Ovis aries: one gene and its partner. The protein of the gene in region 2 purifies or fractionates together with the protein of the main gene of each other region. This does not show direct contact. Links are inferred from orthologs where the notes say so. Each region holds a gene or a part of one and is shown on either strand. Other genes may lie near its edges.

Region 1 (5,341 bases), on a different chromosome or scaffold from region 2:
TGTACCCTGGAGTCCATGAGTTTGCACTTTCTTTCTCCCCTCCTCCCCCACGCCATGCCTTCGAACAGCTTTATTTTGTACAGTCACCTGAACACTCTGTAAGCACTCACTAACCTGTATTTTCTAGAGACTCTCAGGATGGTCCTTCTTAGGAAATTAAATCTGAAATTTTAATTGAGCAGCAGTGTCCTATTAGCAATGGTGTAGGGAATGGTGTTCAGAAAAAAATCAATCGTATATTATTTTACTTGGCAGAAAATTAAAATACCCAAGTGGGAGTTTACTAAAGAAATTACAGCTGACCCTTGAATATAGCTTTCTTGGCAAGTTCTGCCAAATTACATGCTATTATGTGGTGCTTATTATGAATTCCTCCTCCCCAAACATAACATCTGCTTCCCCTCGGTAATGGAGTGTGTTATCATATCTAATTCATCTAATTCTCTAGTTCATCTTAGTGGAATATCAGATGTGGTAGATGCCTGGTTTTTTCCAAACATTATCTTAAATGTTAAGATACCTGTTAACTGGAGAAGGAAATGGCAACCTGCTCCAGTGTTCTTGCCTGGAGAATCCCAGGGACGGCGGAGCCTGGTGGGCTGCTGTCCATGGGGTCACACAGAGTCGGACATGACTGAAGTGACTTAGCAGCAGCAGCAGCAGTGTACCTATTAATATCTATCTACTGTGGTTAAGTAAGAACAAAATTGAATAACCTTCTTTTTGTACTGAGTCAGTGAGAAGCTATTTCATTGGGGAGCTTGGAGAGGTTTACATAGCTCATTTATAAAAAGGAATAGCGTCTAAGGGGGAGAAGGCAATGGCACCCCACTCCAGTACTCTTGCCTGGAAAATCCCATGGACGGAGGAGCCTGCTAGGCTGCAGTCCATGGGGTTGCGAAGAGTCGGACATGACTGAGCGATTTCACTTTCACTTTTTACTTTCATGCATTGGAGAAGGAAATGGCAACCCACTCCAGTGTTCTTGCCTGGAAAATCCCAGGGATGGCAGAGCCTGGTGGGCTGCCATCTATGGGGTCGCACAGAGTCGGACATGACTGAAGCGACGCAGCAGCAGCAGCAGCAGCAGCAGCAGCATCTTAGGGATCTGGTTGAAGAGTGTCCATAATGATTGCTTCAAAAAATCTGGAGTTAGATCCAGCCTCAGTTTTCTACTCTTAGTACAGTTTTGTGGCACATTTAAAAAATTCTTTTCTTAGTGGAATGAGAAGAGTTGGTCATCAAACTTTGTAACATACATAGTCTGGGCTCCTGAGGTTGGTGTCCAGTTAAAATTCCACTCAGCCTGGCCTGGATCTCTCGCTGAAGAATTTCAGTTTTCACACAGAAATAATGATCTAAAACATGAGCTTACTCTTCCTGCTCCTTGAATGTAATAAATGCCATTAAAGCTAAAACCTGAACAACGGAAAAGATGATTGAAGTCTGCTGAGTGACCTACTTTTCTTCACCAGTGGTTGTCTTAGCCCGGTGCTGTTCTGTCCGAGAGACGTTTGGAAGTGCCCCAAAGGTCCATAGAGTACGGTTGGCGGGCACGTGTCGTGACCTCAGAGGCCTCTCTGAAGGCCTCTCAGATGTTCTGTGCTGAGCACCGCAGAGTGGGCTCTTCCCTGAGTGGTCTCCTCTGACCCCCTATTCCCCCACACCTGTCTCTCAATCCAGGGCCTGAGTTTCCCGACTGCGGCTCTTCCTGAATGCCGTTGCTGTGGTCATCTCATCCACTCAGGCCTCCCTAGACCTGCTCTCTCGTAGCCACATTCCACACCCAGAGCGTCCTTCCTTCAGGGTCCTGTGTCCCTGAGGCCAGCACGCGGGGGCCGCTCCCTGACCCAGCCCAGGGCTGGATGCTGGGCACACGGTGGGAGTGAGGCCCGGGCGTGGTCCTCAGGGGACTTGGCTTCCTCGGGGGAGACAGTGGAGGAGGGCAGCTGCCCAGCCCGGGGAGAGACGCAGCCACGGTGGCGGGGCTGGGTCACCGGTCCAGGGTGAGGCAGTAAGGTGGACGTGATGGCTTCCTGTTTCATCACCTCTCAGGAAACTTAGGGCCTCTTGGCAGCTCATTGGGTATGGCTGTTTTGTCCTTGTGATTACATTAGTAATTTCTTTCTCATGATTTGTATGTTGTCTTTCATACTGTGCCCCTCATCCAGTCTGAGGAGGACCTGGTATCTGAGATCAGCCATAAAAATCCTGCTTCTTAAGATGGAAAGAATTGACTTTTCTTTAGTAAAGCAATGGAAGCAGAACAAAAACCTTTTAAGCAAAAGAACCATCATCACTCGTCTGTTTACTGACTTAGCAGACAGTTGAGTGCCGGCCCCCATCTCGAGGCAGAGAGCTCCTGTTTGGGTGGCAGAGGCAGACAGGTGCTGGCCCCAGTCAGCCTCCCTGGGGCTCCCCACCTGGGCCCCGGTTCACAGACCGCAGGCCGCACAGACGGGCTGCCGAGCCCATCGGGGCTGCTGCGGCTTGGGAGGGAGCCCCTGACTCTCCCTCTGCCTGTGGCTTAGGCATGAAGGGCGCCGGTGTGCTCGTGTCTTCCAGGTGTACCTCGAACGGCTTCTCACATACGCAGAGATTGACATCTGTCCGGCCAACTGGAAGCGGATTGTTCTGGGGGCCATCCTGCTGGCCTCCAAGGTGTGGGACGACCAGGCGGTGTGGAACGTGGACTACTGCCAGATCCTGAAGGACATAACGGTGGAGGATATGTGAGTGTGGGCGGGGGCATCCCCGCGTGGACGAGCTCGGGGTGGAGTGAGGGACGGTGGCTGTGCGTCTGTTGTAAGCTGGCCGAGCAAGGACACGGTTGCGGATAGGATTTACAAAAACCTATGCGTCTCGTCCTTTGGGTGCCAGACAGGTACTGGTAACGCTTTCTGGCTTGTGAATCTAGTCTCTGAAACCATGTTCCAGGGAACCTTGCTTTACTTTCCTGCTTCCCGTCTGCGGTGGGGTTCATCCCCACTACTCACTGCAGACTGACAACAGGCAGCAGACTGGCTAAAGTGCTCCCTGCCGCTGCTCAGTTCCAGAGGAGATTGTCACTGTTTCTGTCTCCTGTTGCAAGTTCACTTGGCTTCACATGTACTTTCTGTCCCTCAGGGTCCTCCTGTGTTTCCCGGTCAGGCCGCTTCTCTCTCAGGGCACCGTTCTGGGTTCACCTGCAGCCCGGGGCCTGGGGTCCCTGGGGCTGGGTGTTCAGGAAGTGGGGTCAGGACGAAAGGAGCTGCTTTGGGAACAGTCAGGATGAACTTCTGCATCGCTGACCCAATTCTTACTGACGTTTTTCTCATCTTTTTGTCCAGCTTCCTCAAGCCGGACAACCTCCTCCTGCTAGAGGAGGTTCCACTGTGTCCCAGCCGCCATCTGTGTCCCTGGGCCCCACCTGCCCCTTCCTCTGGTTGCTGGCGGGCTGGGCATCCCCTCGCCTTTGTCTGCCCTGGGGACACTTGTTTATGTTCATGCATCTCTTGCCACAGAGCCTTTTCCTCCTACAGACCAGTAAGACTCTCTCCTGCGCCTGTTATTCTTTATCCTTCAAAAGTAAGAAAAATACGAAGTTTTTGATAGCAAGAATAAGAAAATTAAATTTTTTTTAAGTCTTGATTTTATTTCAAGCTGAAAACAGTTATTAAGAGAATTGTCATACAGACCTTAAGTTGGTCCCTTCCACCTTTTGGCTGCTGTGAATAACTCTGCTGTAAACGTGAACATCACTGTGCAGATTCCTCCCTGAGGCCCTACTCTTTGGAGTCTGTGCCCAGGAGTGGGATTGCCGCTTAGTAGCTGGTGTTTAAAAGTAGGCTCATTTTTCTAGAAAAGTCAATAGGCCATGAGGTGATGAAACAACTCTTTCTTCCATTGTAGAGCCCCATTCACAAGTTGCTAAGTGGCATCAATTCACCTGGGTTTCTTTACAGTAATGACCTAATGTAACTAATACTTCTGAAATGTTTTTATTTATTGGCTTGAATTTACTTATTATAAAATTTTACATCAGAACTATTTACTGGTAATTAGGCTTCCCAGGTGGTGCTAATGGTAAAGAATCCACCTGGCAGTGCAGGAGATGAAAGAGACTCAGGTTCGATGTCCTGGGCAAGATTTCCTGGAGAAGGAAATGGCAACCCACTCTAGTATTCTTACCTGGAGAATCCCATAGACAAGGAGCCAGGCGGGCTAAAGTTCATGGGGATGCAAAGAGTCAGACATGATGATTTATCATATAACAAGCTGTCAGATGTCCCTGGAGGGGGTACTGCTATCGTTTGGAAATTCAAATTTGGGGGATTATTTTTATTTTCTAGGTATTACCCTAGTTTGAAAACACAGCCACTCTAAAATCTTTATTTCCCCCAAAACTTAAACAGAAACATTAAAAAATAAATATTCAGGAAGGCTGTTTTTCCTCTAAGGAACCTGGGGAAACTGCCATCTTGTTTGAAACCAGATTCCTCTCGACTTCAATCCTGGTTATACCCTCAACAAAAGGCAGTGGTGTCTAGATAACCGTCTGGGGTGGGAATAGCTTCTCTGGCTCTCTTACTGGTGTTTCTTCCTGGCATTGGAGAATGGGAGCTGCAGTGTCACCACGTGGCCACTAGGTGGCAGTGTGTCCACAGGCAGCTCACAAGTCTTGTTAAGCCCTTACCTGGATTCTTGAATTTCACAGGATGATCTCCTAAGTCTGACTTAGAGCAGGCATAAATAAAAGTGATTAGAAGAGTAGATTTTGACATCACATATACATTTGGGGCTTAATTCCTTTCTCAAAGCTGCATGGAAGCAGCCCTTCTGATTAGATGAACTGAATTAAATGTCTTGATCTTTCCCTCCAAAGCGCTCAGGCCTTCGATAACAACTTGCTAAGGTTTCTTAGCTATCTTTTGCCTGAGAGCTGCTGTCAGGGAACCAGCCACTACCGCCTCCCAGACTTAGCTCAGCTGTCACTTCCAGGAAGCTTTCCCTGATCCCTCCACTCAGGCTAATCTTGGTCCACTCCATTCAATAATTAATAACAGTAATTATTGAGCACCAGCTGTGTGTCAGGTGCTGTGCTGGGGCCAGGCTGCAGTCAGATGTCACGGATTATGGCTCGGAGGAGGGGAGGAGGGGAGACTGTGATAAACGACAGAAGTGAGTCCAGGGTGCTGCCCGGAGGGTGGCCTAGAGCTGAGAGTCTGGCCCAGGACCAGTGCTGACAGACAGACCTCTCCCTGAGAATGCTTCTCCCCCACCACTGACTGCTAAGAGCTGGGCCTGCTGATGGGGGACGTTTTACAATGTGTTCTGGCTTCATCCAGCTAGAAGGGGGTTG
Region 2 (5,341 bases):
TGAACCACCAGAGTGATCCCTTAAAGGTGTACTCTGACTACTTTGAGACTTTTTTTTTCCTGCTCAATGCATTTACTATTATAAATTTTCCTACAGTTAAAATGCTATTTGAGCTGTATCTATTTTGATATTCTGTTCAAGAGATTTTATTCAACTAATTCAAGAGACTTTCTAATTCCCCTATTGTTTAGTTTCCAAATATTTCCTGTCTTCTCTTTTAAAGTACTTTTTTCCCTCTGCCCCCTTTTTAAGATACTCTCTTTTTTACTGGTTTTAAGCAATTTGATTTTGATGTACCTTCGTGCTATTTTCTCTAGATTTCTTATATTTAGAGTTCATTGACTTCTCAGGTTCATGTGTTTTTATGTTGCAGTTCAGCTGCCTCGGGGAGACGAGTGGTTTCATATCCATATCACATCTACTGTTTCTTGCTTTCATATCTGTATGAGGAACACATGAACTCTTAAAAAAAACTGAATGCGTTTAATATTGTGATAAATCGTTAGTTCTTGATCAGGAGGACTCTGCCTTGTCTTTTAAAGACATCTTCAGCAGTTTTGTGATACTGTAAAAAGTGGGTTGATCTCCTTCTTATTGGATTTAATTAAAATTGAACCTATGCTTGGTAGTTCAGATACACTCATAGGACAGAGTTGATACTTAGTATTTAATCCAAATTTTGCTTCAATAACTTGAAATAATTTAATTATACACTTTACTATTTTCAAAAAATTGCATGTCAAGCATGTTTATTATACAGTTCAAAAAATACAGGGGTATGTAAAAAGTAAGTAATCTTACCCTTTGCCCCTTCAGTTCTGCTTATCTGGAGGTATCTTAACACTTTGGTGTATTTCCTTGTATACCTTTATATTAATATGTGCTCATACACACACATACAAATAGCTCTATCTGTCATATATATATATGTATGTATGTATATATATATATATATTTTTATATCCATACACATAGTTTCATTTCTTGCCAGTATGGAATCATCCCATATGTATTACTCAGACACTTAAATGTTTGCTTTAACAATATGAGATTTTCTTAGATACCGTCTGTTTTCCTGCTTTCTTAAATAGGAATGTGGAAACTTTTCACAAGAAGAAAAAATAAAACTTTAAAAGCAAATCAGAGGTATCTTTTCTTTAGACTGCATGATAAAGTTACCTTACTTTACGGACAAGCTAGAGGCCATGAAGTTACTAAGTAAAAATGTCTTGAGAATATATGGAGAATGAGAGAGCTGGAACATACAGTGGAAAGCAAGGAGCAAAAATCAGAGAGACTAAAATAAAGCAAGACTCGTTCAGATTATGCTGGAAGAGAATGAGCAAAATTGAGAAGGAAGTAGGGGTGTAGTGAAGTAATACATACAGCATTTTGAAATGAGTGTCATTCCGTGTTTTTCTACGTGGTATTATTTTTCGTTTTCATCTGTTAGTTTTAGTATTAGAAACAACATTGCTTTCACCTTTCAGTATCTCTAACCGTTAGCCCTTTTATATGCTCCATTCTAGTTTAGAGATGAAATCAAGATGGGGATAGATTTTAAACATGTATTCAAGCTTTAAGGTTTTGAAGAACATAGTGATGTTTTCCTGTAGCCATGTTAGTTGCTTCTGGGATGGCCCATCAATGAAAATGCCCTTCTGAATTAATTGAACCGATTTTTTAAAAAAAAATTAAGGCAAATTATCCATCTTTTAGTGATTCGGAAATATCCCACTTGCAGTCAGGTGGTAAAATAAATGACAAGGTCGAGAACCACCTCAGGGCACTAGCAGCCTGGGTGCTAAGCTTCCTGTTTTAGGGATAACGTTTTCAGTGTCAGCCCTCAGTGAATATAATTATAATATAATATAATTATAATATAATATAGCGAAGTGTTAGTTGCTCAGTCTGTCCGACCGACTCTTTGTGACCCGGCCAGGCTCCTCTGTCCGTGGATTTCTCCAGGCAAGAATACTGGAGTAGGTAGCCATTCCCTTCTCTAGGGGATCTTCCCAACCCAAAGATTGAACCTGGGTCTCCTGCATTGCAGGCAGATTCTTTACCATCTGAGCCACCAGGGAAGCCCCCAGCAAGTATGGTAAGTGGAATGATGGTGACGAGTTTTTCATATTGTGGTTTAAGCTGGTGTAGCTTTTAGAATATAGCCTTTGGGGTTATTTCCTGAGATAAAAATGGGCATGCTTTGTAAGATAATAAATCCTCATGTGTAGTGATATTAAAGTTTCAGTGGAGTGATCTGAGTTTAATTTCTCTCTCTCTCTCTTTTTTTCCGCCAGATATGTGTCACAAAGATGTCCACACGAAACTGCCCAGGAATGGACTCAGTGATCAAACCCCTGGACACAATTCCTGAGGATAAGAAAGTCAGGGTTCAGAGGACACAGAGCACTTTTGACCCATTTGAGAAACCCGCTAATCAAGTGAAGAGGGTGCATTCTGAGAACAATGCTTGCATTAACTTTAATAAGAGCTCCTCCGCTGGCAAAGAGTCTCCTAAAGTTCGGCGGCACTCCAGCCCCAGCTCGGTGAGTGCGATCTTCTCACTTACTAACGGGTGAGCAGAGCAAGTGGGACAATGTGCAGGGAGCCAGCAGGTGGCTTTATCAGTGCCTTATTATGCATTCTCTCCTTAGGTGGTTCAGCGTTTTCTGGAAGAGAGTGTGCAGGCCTGCGCAAGTGCCAACTACATATACAAACTCTTGATTCACAGGCACCCAGCAAGCCAGTGAGAAATGATTAAACTTATTTTGGGGAAAAATTTTTTTTTCCCCTAGCTGTTTCCAGTTAGAGGAATTTGTCATTTAAACTCCTTGGGTAATTCAAACTCTTGGAGAGGATTTTCAAACTTTACTGTGTTGGCAGGCAGTAAGGATAGTTTTGAATTTGACAGATTCACAAAGAATTTCATTTCAGAATACTTGTTAAAAGTTGTTCACTTGTCTTATTACAGTTGGTTTTTGTTGTCAATATTTTTAAAATTAGGAGCTAGACATTGAAATTGATCTTATAAAGAGAAATCTTATTCATCACAAGGAAATTTTCTGAGGTCAAACTGTATTAAAGCAAGTCTTGCCTTTGGGCCGAAGAAGGTATAAAGTTTGAGATGATCGCTGCTTTTTGACTGTAAAGAATTTTATTGAAACTCATCTTTCCAAGACTGGCCTGCGTTTAACATTGTTAAAAAAAAAAATAAGCCTTATGATCTTTGGAAATTCAGTAATTTTCAGATTTAACCCACACTGAAGAACTTTATGACATAGTCTAAGAATTTAAAGGGTGAGAGAAGAGTGCTAAGAGAGTTTTGATTCTGTCATCTTGCTAAGAAGCATATTCCATTTCGTAGACTTTAAATATTAAATTCCATGATGGTCAAAAAAGAGCAAGAAATGTCAGCTGCTAGAATATTGACGCTTCAATTTAAGTAAAGTGTGGGATACCACGAAAATCTTGTGTCACAGGTTTTTTTGTTGTTGTTGTTGTTAATGAAGTGAAAATAAATATTGTTAATGCAGCCTTTTTGAGGAGAATTGATTATCTGGGTTTCCCCGGATTGGTCCCTATAATCTTATCCATGATTGCAGTGTAGTGTCTGTCTAGGTCACACATAAACAACACTAACACTTGGGAAAACTTTTAGATTTAGTATCATTTAGAAGAAATGAAAAGAGAATCTTTGAGAATGATTAAACTTCTCTTATGGCAAGAGAATTATATATATATTTTACTACAGATATTATTTGTTCAGTTGTGTCAGATTCTGTGTGGCCCCATGGACTGTAGCCTGCCAGGCTCCTCTGTCCATGGAATTCTCCAGACAAGAATACTGGAGTGAGTAGCCATTTCTTTCTGCAGGGGATCTTCCCGACCCAGGAATCAAGCCTAGGTCTCTTGCATTGCAAGCAGATTCCTTACTACCTGAGCCATCAGGGAAGCCCATTTTACTGTATAGTCATCTCAATAATGTTAATTGTCACCCTACATGATATATAGAAATGGGCATTGAGATATTGCAATGAGGCAAACTTATTCACTGTTTATATGAAAATCAAATTAAACTAGTTATTCTGTGTTTTATCTTCAATCCTAGTTATTGTCCAATCGTGCATTATTTCTTTTCTTGCTCAGATTGTTGCTGCTTTAGTCATTGGTCATTGGGAGCTCTTTTAGGTTGGCCCCTGTGTCCTTTTGAGATGTCTCATTCCCCTTTTAATTGTTGAAATGTTTATTATTTACTTACTTATTTTTGATTGAAGGATGACTGCTTTACAGTATTGTGCTGGTTTCTGCCATACATCAACATGAATCAGCCTTTGATACACTATGTCCCACCTCTTGAGCCTCCCTCCCACCTCCCACCCCATCCCACCCCTCTGGGTTGTCACAGAGCCCTGGCTTTGAGTTCCCTGTGTCGCACAGCAAATCCCCACTGGCTGTCTGCTTTACATATGGCAATGTTTGTGTTTCAATGCTGCTCTCAATTTGTCCCATATACCTTTTCAAAAAATATTAAAAAAATTTTTTTTTAATATTAAAAACATTTTTTATTATTTTTAGTTGATTGGTGATTAGTTTACAATATTGGTTGATTTCTGTCATACATCAGCATGAATTAGCCATAGGTGTGCATGTGTCCCCTCCCTCTTGAATCCCCTTCCCACCCCTCTAGGTTATTACTGAGCCTCAGTTTGAGTTACTTCAGTCATATTGCAAATTCCCATGGGCTGAAAAAGACACATGTACCCCAGTATGCATTGCAGCACTGTTTACAGTAGCCAAGACATGGAAGCAAGCTAGACGTCCATCGACAGGTGAATAGATAAAGAAGCTGTATAGTTATAATGGGATACTACTCAGCCATAAAAAGGAATGCATTTGAGTCAATTCTAACGAGGTGGATGAACCTAGAGCCTATTATGCGGAGTGTTTTTGAAGCACTTCCGTACTTTCTTGTCCTACAAGTTGCTCTTGGCTTATCTTGTATTTTCCCAGCCCCAGACCCAGATTCAGCCATTTCTCCAGAGAGCCCTGTTTCCTTTTACTGAAGCATAGTATTTAGAAACCAGGATTGGGTGTTGGGTGTGTTTGCTGCTACTAGGGGTCATATAACCTTAAAAGTCAATGTGTACATCATAGTATAAATAACAATGGGGGGATTTTGATATTTAATTGTGATTTGAAATAAGGGATTTGCTAAAATTCTTTTCAAGGAAAGTTGAGACTTGTCTGATATATTCCGCATTTCTCTTTCTTTCTTTTTTTGTTGTTGCTATTGTTCAGTCAGTAAGTCTTGTCCAACTCTGCGACCCCATGAACTGCA

Evidence for each region. The genes of interacting proteins can lie anywhere in the genome.
Region 1: the proteins of CDK14 (region 2) and CCNY purify together in Homo sapiens (affinity purification with western blotting; 3 studies listed by BioGRID and IntAct, with this or other methods). This does not show direct contact. The link is inferred for Ovis aries from reciprocal best matches to the Homo sapiens genes CDK14 and CCNY.

What each region holds. Positions count from the first base shown.
Region 1 is NC_056066.1:17,428,595-17,433,935, reverse strand, and holds part of CCNY (cyclin-Y), read left to right. Parts: intron 1-2,565; coding exon 2,566-2,732; intron 2,733-5,341. UniProt on the Homo sapiens protein: Positive regulatory subunit of the cyclin-dependent kinases CDK14/PFTK1 and CDK16.
Region 2 is NC_056057.1:8,880,193-8,885,533, forward strand, and holds part of CDK14 (cyclin-dependent kinase 14), read left to right. Parts: intron 1-2,300; coding exon 2,301-2,549; intron 2,550-5,341. UniProt on the Homo sapiens protein: Serine/threonine-protein kinase involved in the control of the eukaryotic cell cycle, whose activity is controlled by an associated cyclin.